Anolis sagrei: one gene and its partner. Each later gene encodes a partner of the first gene's protein in a complex. Links are inferred from orthologs where the notes say so. Each region holds a gene or a part of one and is shown in the gene's direction. Other genes may lie near its edges. The genes, in order: ITGA2B and ITGB3.

Evidence for each region.
Region 2: the proteins of ITGA2B (region 1) and ITGB3 are in contact, whole or in part, in a cryo-EM structure (PDB 8GCE), measured with the Homo sapiens proteins. The link is inferred for Anolis sagrei from reciprocal best matches to the Homo sapiens genes ITGA2B and ITGB3. Residues at the interface, in NP_000410.2 of Homo sapiens: Gln49, Phe52, Arg72, Trp141, His143, Asn145, Glu152, Ala153, Glu154, Lys155, Pro157, Arg184, Phe191, Tyr197, Glu199, Phe202, Pro217, Tyr221, Phe222, Phe262, Asp263, Tyr265, Tyr268, Thr290, Trp293, Thr294, Gln315, Met316, Ala317, Tyr319; in NP_000203.2 of Homo sapiens: Ser188, Pro189, Tyr190, Tyr192, Ile193, Ser194, Pro195, Pro196, Tyr204, Asp205, Met206, Arg242, Asp243, Pro245, Lys279, His281, Ile282, Ala283, Leu284, Asp285, Arg287, Leu288, Ala289, Gly290, Val292, Gln293, Pro294, Asn295, Asp314, Tyr315.

Annotation. Positions count from the first base shown.
Region 1 is NC_090026.1:47,949,472-47,957,536, reverse strand, and holds the start of ITGA2B (integrin alpha-IIb), read left to right. Parts: upstream 1-4,801; 5' UTR 4,802-4,946; intron 4,947-8,065. UniProt on the Homo sapiens protein: Integrin alpha-IIb/beta-3 is a receptor for fibronectin, fibrinogen, plasminogen, prothrombin, thrombospondin and vitronectin. It recognizes the sequence R-G-D in a wide array of ligands.
Region 2 is NC_090026.1:45,735,519-45,743,107, reverse strand, and holds the start of ITGB3 (integrin beta-3), read left to right. Parts: upstream 1-4,584; 5' UTR 4,585-4,794; coding exon 4,795-4,867; intron 4,868-7,589. UniProt on the Homo sapiens protein: Integrin alpha-V/beta-3 (ITGAV:ITGB3) is a receptor for cytotactin, fibronectin, laminin, matrix metalloproteinase-2, osteopontin, osteomodulin, prothrombin, thrombospondin, vitronectin and von Willebrand factor.

The DNA of each region.
Region 1 (8,065 bases):
GTTCATAGTCCTAAGTTGCAGGGACTTTGCTTCCTTTGGCTGCATTCATAGGGCAAGCCACCTGTCAATAATAGTTAAGATCCCTGGTCCCACCCCTCTGGGTTTTTTTGGAGGGAAGGGGCCATTTTTCAGGCAGTCACACACAAGGAAACCAGCCTATAGGACGCAAATCAGTTTGTTCCGTAGGAAAGGCTTCATTCCTCAAGACCATCCAGGGTCCAAACTGACTATCCAGTTCCAGAGAAACGGAAGGAAAAGGTCCCAAAGGCTCTGGCTGAGAGCTCACAGCCTCTCAGCCTCACAGCACCAGAGGGGAAAACAGACCTGAAGTTTCCACAGGACAGCACTGCAGAACCACAGAATTCCAGCTAAGCATCTTCTAGCTTCGTCTGGTAGGTTACTCGGTTTCCAGATGCATTTGGGGATCGGCTGTTTTACCCAGACCAGCGAGGCCTGGGTGATGGACGGCCTGGGAGAGATTACAAAGGATTCTTCCTCATGTTGAGATAGTATAGTTAAACCAAGTCAGTGCCAGTCTCTTAAAGACTAGTATAAGAAAGCCTTAAAGTGTTGTTTGAAGATTTGTTCCTTTCGTACCTTTAAAGAACTCTAAAGCCCATTACTTCTGGAAGTCTCTAACAATCTCTCTTTGGGCACCCCGGCTTCCCACTGGGTTTAAGGTATGTGTTCTATAGAATAAAGACATTTTGTTCGGACCCAGTGGCAACAGAATAAATAGGTACCACTCTTTCATAATAGTCCAGATACCTACCTCTATTTCAAAAAGTCTTACTATAGTCCACAACATCGCGTGGCAGGGCAAAGCTAGTTAAAGATAAAAGAAGTAAGTGACTGATATTGTTGTGGTTGCTTGTACAAGGCAAAACCAGATGCCAGGAAGAGCTAGATAACATTTCAGAACCACACTACTGTGATGGGCGAGAAAACACCAGAGGTAAAGGAGAAAATGAGTCCATGGGGCAAATATATTTCTATGGTTGTGCCATTTATTTCCATTCCTTCTGAGTTCCATTCTCTATCACTTGTGGTTGGCTTTGCGTCTGCTTTTTGATAAAGCCTTTGCAACCAGGAAAGGCGTGACAGTTGCACTAAACTGATAGAGGGTCTTTTGTGGGGCAGGAAATGGGGTGGTTCTTGCACATCCAGGAGAAGCAAAGCCTGCTCTTTATATTCATCCTGCCGTAGCCCTAAATCTATATAAATAAAAATGTAATGTTGGTTTGTGGGATTAACATAACTCATAAACCACTGGATGAATTGACATCAAATTCGGCCACAATAGACCAACCAAACCAATGTATGTTCTTCACTCAAAAAGACCAAAAATAATTAACTGGAACGAACTTTACAAACCCCAAAACCAAGAATACATTACAGCACCTATCATGTGACCCTGCCTGCATGCCCAACCGGCAAACAGGCAGGAAGGTGCCCACAGCCATGGCAAAAAGAAGAGGTGACGCTGGCCTGCCTCGAAAAGTGCCTGCCCCATGCCCAGCCCAGCAAGGCCGAGGGTTGCAAGACTCCCTTCCTGCCGGTGCCCATGCAAGAGGTAGAGAAGAGAAGGAAGAAAAGAGGGAGAGAAGAAAGGAGAGAAAGGACGGGAAAGAAAGCAGGAAAGAGAAAGAAAGATGGAAGCAAAGAGCAAAGGAAGGAAGGAAAAGGTAGAGAAGGAAGGAAGAAGAGAAAAGAAAAAAGGGAGGGAGGGAGGAAAGAGAAGGAAAGGCGAAAAGGAAGAAAAGGGAGAGAAGGAAGGAAGATGAGAGAAAGGGAGAGAAGGTTGGCCACAGAAATGTGTGGTGGGTAAATTCATTCACTCCAAGGTCATGTGGCTGGCATGACTGCATAGAGTGCCGTTAACTTCCCGCTGGAGCGTTACCTATTGATCTCACATTTGCATTTTTTTTAACTGCTAGGTTGGCAGAAGCTGGGGGTGACAGTGGAAGCTCATGCCGCTCCCCAGATTCGAACCTGTGACCTTTCAGTCAACAAGTTCATGAGCTCAGCGGTTTAAATGTGTTAGTAGGAAGCGTTTATTATAATAAAATTATTATTATACCTTTAAAAATTTACTTATACCTAAATGATCCATAATCCCAGATATGGCTTTCTCTAAACTCTGAGAAGAAACTTTAGTTTTCATAAATTGCAGGATTTGACCCAATCCTTCAAAAAGAGATTGCTGACTCAAGGCACAAAGTCTCCAGTGTTTAGGAACAGTTTAGGGACTGGCTTATTTTGAGACCTTACCACTGCCTTGTGTTGACGAAAAGAGCTGTCGCAGTACACCAAATTGATTATGTGTCCTTTTTATTTTATTGCTGTTTGCACAGAAACCCTTTTTTTTTTGTTCAATAAAAGTAACAAAGGTAAAAAGTAAATACAAAAAAACCCTTCCAACAGCAATTGAGATCTGGTAGTTTATTTTAAGGATATGAACAAGTATTTTTTATTTGCTTGACGGCAAGTCGATATTAAATATATTAATGATTTAAGAGGATCTTTCCAGTCAATGCCTTGTGTGCAAGTTTAGGAGACGAGGCATTCTTTCTAGAGGTGGTTCAGTTTGCTTCATATCCTATAAGAAATCTAGTTTAATCATTGTTTTGGACTGAAATATAAACGAGACTTTCACTGGTAATCGTGCTCCTTTAATGTGTAAGGACCATAAATGTACTATTGCACTTTGTTTATCCATAACATGGTTCACATCCATTCTCAGCAATATTTACGTAATTTGCACTCAGAAGACAGAATCTTGCCTTTCCTTGTAAACTTGGGCAATCTCTTCATCAACAACTTTTTCCATTTTCATCGCACTCTGATGCTCTGATGCTACCTGGTGACACATGTCCTGGTTTTCATCTGTGAGCATAGGCCTAAAAGCCCTAAAGCAAGGGTGGCCAAACTATGGGCCGCAGGCCAATTCCACCCACACCCAAATGTAATTTACCTGGCCTTGCTCTTAACCTTAGACTAACCCTGCCATTCACTCTTGCCCCTTCTAAAATGGAGGGAGGGAGGATGGGAGAAAAGAAAAAGTAAAAAAAGGGAAGTAGGAAAAGAGGGAAGATGGGAAGAATAAAAGGAAGACAAAGGGAGGTAGGAAATTGAAGGAAGAGAAGAAGGAGAAAAAAAGTAGGAAAAGGTAGGTAAGTAAAGGTTGTCCTCTGACATTTAAGTCCGGGGGTTGGTGCGCATCTCAGTTTCTAAGCCGAAGAGCTGGCATTGTCTGTAGACACCTCCAAGGTCATGTGGCCGGCATGACCGCATGGAGCACTGTTACCTTTCCACCAAAGCAGTACCTATTGATCTACTCACATTTGCATGTTTTCAAACTGCTAGGTTGGCAGAAGCTGGGGCTGACAGCGGAAGCTCACGCCACTCACTGGATTCGAACCTGCAACTTTTCAGTCACCAAGTTCAGCAGCTCGGCGGTTTAACCAACTGCAGCACCAAGGGCTCCAACATCTAGTATCTCGGCAAATACAGTCCTTAAAGTTGGAAAAATGACTAAATTGAGGTTGTCATATTTTGGCCATATCATGTGATGATTAAATTCTCAACAGGAAAGATGATAATGCTTTGTAAAGTGAAAAAAGTGGGGGAGAGGTGGTTGGTCAGATGTGTTCCAGTTTTATTTATTTATTTATTTATTTCGGGCACTTCTACCCCGCCCTTCTCAACCCCCTGGGGGGACTCAGGGCAGCTTACAACCGGCACAATTCGATGCCAACAATTCAACAGATAAAATACATAACAACAATAACCACAAGTTAAAACATTCAATTAATATAATAACAACTAAAAGCCAATCTAGTGGCTAACGTTCACCGAGTTCTAAAATCCATAAATCCATTCAGCATTACCATAGTCCTTTCCAAATTCTGGTCATCATTACCTTGTCAGTCTGCCTGATTAACCAAAGGCCTGGTCCCATATCCATGTTTTCAGCTTCCTTCTGAAGGAGAGGAGGGATGTTGATGACCTAATTTCCCCGGGGAGTGAGTTCCACAGGCGAGGGGCCACCACTGAGAAGGCCCTGTCCCTCGTCCCCACCAGCCTCACTTGTGGAGAGCAGGGCCTCCCCAGAAGATCTTAAGCTCTGAGGTGTGACATATAAGGAGATATGTTCGGACAGGTACGCTGGTCCGGAGCCGTACAGGGTTTTATAGGTCAAAACCAGCACTTTGAATTGTGCTCAGAACTGGATCGGCAGCCAGTGGAACTGACACAACAGAGGGGTGGTATGTTCCCTGTATGACGCTCCGGTGATTAATCTAGCTGCTGCCCTTTGGACTAAATTAAGTTTCCGAACAGTTTTCAAAGGCAATCCCACCTAGAGCGCGTTGCAGTAATCTATTCGGGATGTAACAAGAGCATGCACCACTGTGGCCAAATCAGACTTCCCAAGGTACAGGCACAACTGTGAAATGTTGGGAGGAAAAATAAAAGCTATTTTCTCGCCAAGATCAACTCTCGAACAGCTTTTAAACAACGTTTACATTGCTTAATCTTTTGTTCATGACAAGCCTTTCCTTGGTAGCTGGTGAATCAGTCCAAATGCATTTGAGATGGAAGAGACCAAAGGAGCGGATAGATGGTTGCGCAATTGGCTGATGGGAAAGACCAGAGGATGGGAAAGACTTTGGAAAGGAAGCACATTTTTCAGAAACATCATCTGAATCCACACCTACCAAATACGGTAATGATTCTTAGTGCTGCTAGAACACATAACACTCCTCTGTTTTTAAAGTGGAAGTGCTCCCTTTAGGATTAATATAACCCTAAAGGGAGTACTTTCACTTTACAAGCTGGAGCAAAAACACATTGAACTGTGCTTTCTAAGAAAGTCCTATATTTTTTTGCATTGCAATCAGCCTGGGTGGAATCGAGGTGGAATATTTGGAGGGCAAGACAGGTTGGTAAGTGGTTATGTAGGTCTGGCAGGTCTGCTTCCAGTTCAGTGTGAATGTGGAGAACTGAAAGTGTATATTTGACTGGAAAGTGGAGAACGTGGATACAAAGGATTCTAAACAGCAGTCAGATTTTAAAAATATGGATACTACTAACCTTCCTGCTTTGAATTTTACCTATCTCCCATTTCTGAATGTCTGAACTTTTCTGTTTGCTGGGTACTAGCTTGGGTACCCGGCATTGCATGGGTTACTTGAAAAAGTCATTTTTAAAAAATTGTACAAAATGAATAAGTTTGTGGGTGAACTATAATTCACATCATGCTAGATTAACCCAGAAAAACTCCATCATAAAGGTTGTTACATTAGGCAGGTTTGCTCTGGGTGCATCATCAGTGGGGTTCAGTGTGCTCTCTGGCTTTCGGATAAACTACAACTCCGACTATGGTGAATCAGCCCCTCAAACCCTCCCAGTAGGTTCTGTGTGCCAAGTTTGGTCCAGGTCCATCATCAGTGAAGCTCACAGTTTCTCTGGTTGTGGGTGAACTACAACTCCCAGAAAGGGAAGTCAGTTGCCCCCAAACCCCTCCAGTAATCAAATTTCAGCATATCAAGTATGTGTGCCAAGTCTGGTCCAGACTAAAATGATAAAGGGTCTGGAGAACAAGCCCTATGAGGAGCGGCTTAAAGAGCTGGGCATGTTTAGCCTGAAGAAGAGAAGGCTGAGAGGAGACATGATAGCCATGTAGAAATATGTGAGGGGAAGTCATAGGGAGGAGGGAGCGAACTTGTTTTCTGCTGCCCTGGAGACTAGGACACGGAACAATTGCTTCAAACTACAAGAAAGGAGATTCCATCTGAACATTAAGAAGAACTTCCTGACTTTGAGAGCTGTTCAGCAGTGGAACTCTCTGCCCCGGAGTGTGGTAGAGGCTCCTTCTTTGGAAACCTTTAAACAGAGGCTGGCTGGCCATCTGTCGGGGTGCTTTGAATGCAATTTCCCTGCTTCTTGGCAGAATGAGGTTGGACTGGATGGCCCATGAGGTCTCTTCTAACTCTATGATTCTATTATTCTATTCTAGATACATCGGTGTTTGGGTTCACAATACTCTCTGGATGTAGGTGAACTACAACTCCCCCAAATCAAGGTGAATTTTCCCCAGAGACCTCCAGTATTTTTTGTTGGTCATGGGGGCTCTGTTTGCCAAGTTAGTTCCAGGTCCATCATTGGTAAGAGTTCAGAGTGCTCTTAGATTGCAGGTGAATTATACATCCCAGTATCTTCAACCACTATAAATCATGGTGAATTCTCTCCAAACCTCTCCAGTATGTTCAATTGCTGATTAATTCCTTTGCTTGCAAGAAAATATTGCAAGAAAATACAGAAAATACTGGAAGGGTTTGGTGGGCAGTGTCCTTAGGTTTTGGAGCTGTAGTTCACCTACATCCAGAGATCACTGTGGACTCAAACAATGATGGATCTGGACCAAACTCTACACGAATACTCAATATACCCAAATGTGAACATTGGTGGAGTTTTGGGAAAATAGAATCTTGACATTTGGGAGTTGTAGTTGCTGGGATTTGTAGTTCACTTACAATCAAAGAGTATTCTGAACCCACCAATGATGGAATTGAACCAAACTTGGCACACAGAACTTCCATGACCAACAGAAAATACTGGAAGGATTTGGTGGGCAGTGTCCTTTGGTTTTGGAGTTGTAGTTCACCTATATCCAGAGAGCACGGTGCACTCAGTGATGGATATGGATCAAACTTGGCACAAATATTCAATATGCCCAAATATGAACACTGGTTGAGTTTGGGGAAGACCTTGACATTTGGGAATTGCAGTTGCTGGGATTTATAGTTCACCTACAATCACAGAGCATTCTGACCCCCACCAACAATAGAATTGGGTCACAGAGAACCCCCATGTGGGCCACAGTAACACAGTAAAAATAGCTCCTTTGAGTTCAGTATAGTTCCCATAATAATGTTAATGTATTTACAACACTTTGAGTATTTTATTTACAATTGAAAAATTGTCAAAATAAGTTAACAAAAGATACATATTGTTTATAGTTAATACCGTCATATGTTGTCCTTATGAAAACATAAGTTTGGTGCAGTTTTCCCATAAAATGTGTGTGTTTAGTGTGCATATAACTTTATTATATACTAGCTGTCCCCTGCCACGCGTTGCTGTGGCCCAGTCTGTTGATCTGGAAAATAAAGTAATGAGGAAGTGTTGGTTTCTAATATATGTAATTTCTTTATGCATGTGAGTAAACAGTTTTTCTTGCTGTTTCTTTGTCAGTGTTGTTGTGGAGAGTTTCTGGCTTGCCTACTCTGGAATATGCAACATATCATAGTCCTTCTTTAAGGGTCTCTTTCAAATCTGTGATACTATATATGTGTGTGAGAGAGAATCATATCTATCTATATTTATGGCAGGATGGCTCTTTGTCAGGAGGGCTCTGAATACATTTTCTTGCCCTCGTGAAGAAGAGAGTTGGACTGGATGGCCTTAAGTATTTTCTGTTGGTCATGGGGGTTCTGTGTGGGAAGTTTGCCCCATTTCTGTCGTTTGTGGGTTTCAGAATGCTCTTTAATTGTAGTGAACTACAAATCCCAGTAAGTACAAATCCCAAATGTCAAGGTGTATTTCCTCCGATTTCCATCTGTGTTCATATTTAGGCATACGGAATTTTTGTATCAAGTTTGGTCCAGATCCACCATTGTTTGAGTCCACAGTGCTCTCTGGATGTAGGTGAACTACAACTCCAAAACTCAAGGTCAATGCCCACCAAACCCTTCCAGTGTGTTTTGTTAGTCATGGAAGTCCTGTATGCCATGTTTGGTTCAATTCCATCATTGGTGGAGTTCAGAATGCTCTTTGATTGTAGGTGAACTATAAATCCCAGTAACTACAACTCTCAAATGTCAAGGTCTATTTCCCTTAAACTCCATCTGTGTTCATATTTGGGCATATGGAATATTCGTGCCAAGTTTGGTCCAGATCCATCATTGTTTGAGTCCACAGTGCTCTCTGGATATAGGTGAACTACAACTCCCAAACTCATATCAATGCCCACCAAACCCTTCCAATATTTTCTGTTGGTCAT
Region 2 (7,589 bases), about 2.2 Mb from region 1:
GAATAAGGATAAAATATTCTGCACGTAAATGTAAATACAAATACTGAAGCACAATAGGGGTGAGGGAGCAGAAGGGGAAACAGGGTGAAAACATACAATGCACAGGTCTATCAGCAATTATAGAATCAAGGAAGATGATTACTGGATACACAGTTAACTCTTGGGACCAGTCACCTGTACACAGATGACGTCCAACTCTGTCAATCCTTCCCACTTGCTACTAAGGAGGCTGTTCAGGTACTGAACTGGTGCTTGGCCGCTTTGACGATCTGGATGAGGGCGAACAAATTGAAATTGAATCCAGACAAGACAGGGGCACTCCTGGTCAGTCGTAAGGCTGAACAGGGTATAGGGTTGCAGCCTGAGTTGGATGGGGTTACACTCCCCCTGAAGATGCAGGTTCGCAGCTTAGGTGTGATCCTGGACTCATTGGTGAGCCTGGAACCCCCAGGTTTTGGCAGTGACCAGGGGAGCATTTGCACAGTTAAAACTTGTGTGTCAGCTGTGCCCGGACCTTGGGAAGTCTGACTTGGCCACGGTAGTCCACGCTCTGGTTACATCCCGTATAACGTACTGCAACGCGCTCTACGCAGGGTTGCCTTTGAAGACTGTCCAGAAGCTTCAAATGGTCCAACGGATGGCAGCCAGATTACTAAAAGGAGCAACACTCAGGGAGCATACAACTCCTCTGTTGCACCAGCTCCACTAGCAGCCAGTTTGCTACCGGGTCTATAAAGTCCTAAACGGTTCTGGCCCAACTTACCAGGCGGAACGCATCATCCTTTATGAACCTGCTAGGAATTTAAGATCGTCCGAGGAGGCCCTGCTCCCGATCCTGCTTGCGTCACAAACACGTTTAGTGGGAATGAGAGACAGGGCCTTTTCAGTGGTGGCCCCTCGACTATGGAACGCTCTTCCTGGGGACATTCGATCGGCCCCCTCCCTCTTAACATTTCGGAAGAGAGTCAAGACTTGGTTGTTGGAGTAAGTGTTTGAAAATGCAAGGAAAAAGACATAGGAATTGGAACGACTGGACGACGAGATGGGACAATGTTTTTATTAGGAGATGCAAATGATCTTTGTTTTTAGTATTCTTGTTATGGTTTTATATTATGTGTTAATGTTTTAAAATGTTTTATGGTGTTTTGGGGCATCATATTGTTGCCATTGTAAACTGCCCTGAGTCGCCTGAGGGCTGAGAAGTGCGGTATACAAATACAGTAAATAATAATAATAATAATAATAATAATAATAATTCCCTGACAGATTTTGTATGCTGCTTCACAAAACTTTGCAACATTGTAAGTTGTAGCTGAATTAGTACCTATATGGCAATGTAGAAGGAGCTTTCAAGTCAGTTATCAACACGTGGCAAATCATTCATTTCCTTGGATTTTCTTAGGCAAAGAATATTCAGAGCTGGTCGCACCTACAGCCCCTGATTTTCCTTGGTGGTCTCCCTTCCAAGTGCCAACCAAATCTGAGTCTGCCTAGCTTCAAAGTCAGAGCATCCGATGCCTTCAGCATTTAGGCCTTGGGCATTGTATATCCCACCTATGTTCTCTGTATGGCTTGGATCTGAACACAAGGGGGCAGTAAAGGAGAAGCTGAAAACAAAACTTTCAGGTGTACATAACATATTAAAAGATGCAACTAATTACATAAGCAGCATATTCCCTTCTTCCCAATTATCAACGAATTCAGTTCCTTAATGTCTGGTGTTTTGGGTGATCTTTGTTCAATTACTTAAACTGCAGGCACCAAACCTTCTTCAATCAGTTATGTTTCTTTGATAAAAACTTTACAGTTGGACTCGTTTGCAAACTATGGATAATTTGGGGCTGATCCATCAAAGCTGGGTGGCTTATTACCTCCTTAGCATAATCTGTGTATGTTCTTGGAACCATAATAATAACAACAACAATAATAATATACTTTATTTATATTCCGCTCTGTATCCCCGAGGGGACTCAGAGCAGATTACAATATACACGGAAACAGTAATTATTATAGTAGATTGCCTGGGAGAAGTTAAAAAAGGGTTTTCCTTTCAAAAGAAAAGAAACAGTTGTCAAAGCCATTTGCCTGTTACTTGTGGACAAGATTAAGAAAGCTACCAGTCATTTGTATGATTGTCGTTGAAGACTGAAGAAGTATTTGTTTAATTTGTTCAACAATAAAGGACTTTGTTAAACCTTTCAAGCCTCTAAAGACTCTTCCAGAGGAAAATCCTTAGGGCCTCTCTATCAAGGCGCCCTGGCTTTCCGCTGGGCACAAAGTGCACGTCCTGTTCAAAAGACAATTATTACAGGCCCAGTGAGTGACAGCATTATTATTATTATTACTAGCTATCCCCTGCCACGCGTTGCTGTGGCCCAGTCTGGTGATCTGGAAAATGAAGTAATGAGAAAGTGTTGGTTTCTAATATATGTAATTTCTTTATGCTTGTGTTGATATAGAGATTGTCTAGTTGGCCTACTCTGGAGCATGCAAAATAGAATTGTCCTTGTTTAGTGGTCCCTTTCAAATCTATGATACTATATCTGTGTGTGTGTGTGTGTGTGTGAGTCATATATCTCTCTCTATATCTATGGCTGGGTGGTTCTTTGTCAGGAGGGCTTTGATTACATTTTCTTGCCCTGGTAAAGGGAGTTGGACTGAATGGCCTTAAGTATTTTCTGTTGGTCATGGGGGTTCCGTGTGGGAGGTTTGTCCCAATTCTGTCATTAGTGTGGTTCAGAACGCTCTTTGATTGTAGGTGAACTATAAATCCCAGTAACTACAACTCCCAAATGTCAAGGTCTTTTTTCCCCAAACTCCATCTGTATTTATATTTGGGCATATTGAGTATTTGTGCCAAGTTTGGTCCAGATCCAACATTCTTTGAGTCCACAGTGCTCTCTAGATGTAGGTGAACTACAATTCCAAAATTCAAGGTCAGTGCCCACCAAACCCTTTCAGTATTTTCTGGTGGTCATGGGAGTTCTGTGTGCCAAGTTTGGTTGAATTCCATCGTTGGTGGTGTTCAGAATGCTCTTTGATTATAGATGAACTATAAATCCCAACAACTACAACTCCCAAATGACAAAATCATAATTTTTGAGTGATGGTCATTCCTTGTGTAGTGAGACGTTTTGTTGCCAAATTTGGTGTGATTTCGTTCATTAGTTCTTTTGTTTTTAAGGTACTCATTATGCACTGAGCATTTTATATATAGAGATTATTATTATTATTATTATTATTATTATTATTATTATTATTATTAGAGGAGTTGGGAGGGAAAGCCACTCCATGTGTAATGCAGTTTGACATCACTTTAACCACCATGGCTCAATGCTGTGGAATTATGGAAGCTGTAGTTTTACAGAGTGTTCAGCCCTCTCTGCCAAAAGTGCTGGTGCCTCACCAAATTATATTCTGGGTTATATGGCAGTGTAGACTCATATAATCCAGCTCAAAGCAAATAATGTGGATAATCTCATCCGATAATCTAGATCAGTGTTTCTCAACCTGGGGGTCGGGACCCTTGGAGGGGTCGCGAGGGGGTATCAGAGGGGTCACCAAAGATCATGAGGAAACACAGTATTTTCTGTTGCTCATGAGGGTTACATGTGGGAAGTTTGGCCCAATTCTATCGTTGGGGGAGTTCAGAATGCTCTTTGATTGTAGGTGAACTATAAATCCCAGCAACTACAACTCCCAAATGTCAAGGTTTATTTTCCCCAAACTCCACCAGTGTTCACATATGGGCTAATTGAGTTTTCATGCCAAGTTTGGTCCAGATCCATAATTGTTTGAGTCCACAGTGCTCTCTGGATGTAACTGAACTACAACTCCAAAACTCAAGGTCAATGCACACCAAACCCTTCCACTATTTTCTGTTGGTATTTGGGAGTTCTGTGTACCAAGATTGGTTCAATTCCATTGTTGGTGGAGTTCATAATGCACTTTGACTGCCGGTGAACCATAAATCCCAGCAACTACAACTTCCAAATGACAAAATCAACCCCCCACCCCACCCTACCATTATTCAAATTTGGGCATATTGGGTATTTGTGCCAAATTTAGTCCAGAGAATGAAAATACATCCTGCATATCAGATACTTACATTACGATTCATAACAGTATTACAGTTATTAAAGTAGTAACGAAAATAATTTTATGGTTGGGGGTCACCACAACATGAGGAACGGTATTAAGGGGTCACAGCATTAGCAAGATTGAGAAACACTGATCTAGATTATATGGCAGTGTAGAAGGGGCCTCTAGCAGAGAAAGTGGGTGCCTCGCCAAACCACAAATCCCATCTTGCTGCATTGATAATCAAGATTATGTGGCAGTGTGGAGCCAGCCTGAGTTTGAACAAGGGAGACTCACTTCAGCCAAACACAGCACCTCCTTGTTCAGCAGAGAAGGCGGAAGAGAAGCCGCCTCTCCTTTTCTGTTTGTTTCCATGAACTTTGGAAAGAAAATGATAATATCTCAAACTGCATCTCAAACCCTGGCGAGAGGCGGGGGCTGTGGGAAAATGGGAAGAGGAGGGAGAGGTCTGGAAAGTGTCATAAAGGTCAGAAGGAGTCGGTCACTCCATCTCTCCTCCCCAACAAAGCAGTTCCTAAAGGAAAGAGGCGGATCCTGCTAAGCCTTGGTGACCTGAGCCAGGCAGAGAGGGAGGGAGAGTGGGGCGGGCACACAGCTGTTTCCCTGCTCTCTTTCAAGCATCTCTCAGGGACAGAGGCGCCCAGAAAAGTTTCTTCCAACTCTACCCCAGCAGCTCCTCTGAACAGGCAAAGCATGGGCACATTCTCCTCCTCTTCCACTCTCCTTGGAATGTGTAGCATGCTCTTCTTCACCTCCAAAGTCTGGGGTAAGTTGCACTTGAGACAAGGCTGATTATTGCATTTCTCATTTCTGTGTATGGCTGGGAAAGTTGGGATAGGGGAGAAGTTTGGGGTGACTCTCATCAAGAGTGTAGAATGAATGCAATTTGGTATCACTTTAACTGGAGTTTCATGCAGTTTGACAACACTTTTAACTGTCAAAGAAAGTTGGTGCCCCACCAAACGACAGATCCCAAATTGCTGGGATTTGTAGTTTTGGCGAGGCACCAGCCACCGTTGACAGAGATGTGCCACAGACCTTATTTAATTATTTACAACATTTATATGCCGCCCTTCTCACCCCAAAGGGGACTCAGAGCGGCTTACAAGATATATCAATATCTATATCTCTATCTCTATCTATCTATCTAAATAAATAAATAAAAATGTAATGTTCGTTTGTGGGATTAACAGAACTCAAAAACCACTGGACGAATTGACACCAAATTTGGACACAAGATACCTAACAACCCAATGTATGTCCTTCACTCAAAAAAACCTGATTTTGTCATTTGGGAATTGTAGTTGCTGGGATTTATAGTTCACCAACAATCAAAGAGCAATCTGAACCCCACCAACAATAGAATTGAACCAAACTTGGCACACAGAACACCCATGACCAACATAAAACACTAGAAGGGTTTGGTGGGCATTGACATTGAGTTTGGGAGATGTAGTTCACCTACATGCAGAGAGCCCTGTGGGCTCAAACCATGATGGATCTCGACCAAACTTGGCACGAATATTCCATATGCCCAAATATGAGCACAGATGGAGTTTGGGGAAAATAGACCTTGACATTTGGGACTTGTAGTTACTGGGATTTATAGTTCACCTACAATCACAGAGCATTCTGAACCCCACCAACGATAGAATTGGGCCAAACTTCCCACACAGAACCCCCATGTGGGCCACAGCAACGCATGGCAGGGGACGGCTAGTCTATATATATATATATATATATATATATGCAATATATTATATTATTAGCATAGTGCAATATTAGTATTAATAACGGCGTTCCATGCAGTCATACTGGCCACATGACCTTGGAGGTGTCTACGGACAACGCTGGCTCTTTGGCTTAGAAATAGAGATGAGCACTACACCCCTGAGTCGAACACAACTGGACTTAATGTCGGGGAAAACCTTTACCTATATTCTACTATACCATTATATTGTAATATTATTAGTAATATTACATGCAATATAAATATATAATTGTAATATCATATTATTAGGCAAAGGCAAAGGTTTTCCCCTGATATTACGTCCAGTTGTGTCCGACTCTAGGGTGTGGTGCTCATCTCCATTTCTAAGCCGAAGAGCCGGCATTGTCCATAGACACCTCCAAGGTCATGTGGGTGGCATGACTGCATGGAGCGCCGTTACCTTCCCACCGGCGCGGTGCCTATTGATCTACTCACATTTGCATGTTTTCGAACTGCTAGGTTGGCAGAAGTTGGGGCAGACAGCGGGAGCTTACGCCGCTCCCCGGAATCGAACCTGCAACCTTTCGGTCAACAAGCTCAGCAGCTCAGCACTTTAACCCTTTGCACCACCAGGGGCTCTTACAAGATACATATACATACAATATATTATATTATTAGCATAGTGCAATATCAGTATTAAATATTATATTGTACTATACCATTATATTGTAATATTATTAGTAATATAAATATATAATTATAATATCATATTATTAGGTAAAGGTAAAGGTTTTCCCTTGACACTAAGTCCATTCGTGTCCGACTCTAGGGTGTGGTGCTCATCTCCATTTCTAAACCGAAGAGCCAGCATTGTCCATAGACACCTCCAAGGTCATGTGGGTGGCATTACTGCATGGAGCGCCGTTACCTTTCCACCGGCGCGATACCTATTGATCTACTCACATTTGCATGTTTTCGAACTGCTAGGTTGGCAGAGGTTGGGGCTGACAGCAGGAGCTCATGCCGCTCCCCGGAATCGAACCTGCGACCTTTCGGTCAACAAGCTCAGCAGCTCAGCACTTTAACCCTTTGCACCACCAGGGGCTCTTACAAGATACATATACATACAATATATTATATTATTAGCATAGTGCAATATCAGTATTAAATATTACTATATTGTACTATACCATTATATTGTAATATTATTAGTAATATTACACGCAATATAAATATATAATTGTAATATCATATTATTAGGCAAAGGTAAAGGTTTTCCCCTGATATTACGTCCAGTTGTGTCCGACTCTAGGGTGTGGTGTTCATCTCCATTTCTAAGCCGAAGAGCCAGCATTGTCCATAGACACCTCCAAGGTCATGTGGGTGGCATGACTGCATGGAGCGCTGTTACCTTCCCACCGGCGCGGTGCCTATTGATCTACTCACATTTGCATGTTTTCGAACTGCTAGGTTGGCAGAAGCTGGGGCTGACAGTGGGAGCTCACGCCACTCCCCGGATTCGAACCTGCGACCTTTTGGTCAACAAACTCAGCCACTCAGCTGTTTAATCCACTAGGGGCTCCTAATAATTATATTATTAGTAGTGTCATATTGCATTACATTATATATATATATATAACAACATTTAAAAATATTTCTTTTCATTGAAAATATTACCAATAGGTTCTTGTGGGTTTTTTCGGGCTATAGGGCCATGTTCTAGAGGCATTTCTCCTGATGTTTCGCCTGCATCTATGGCAAGCATCCTCAGAGGTGG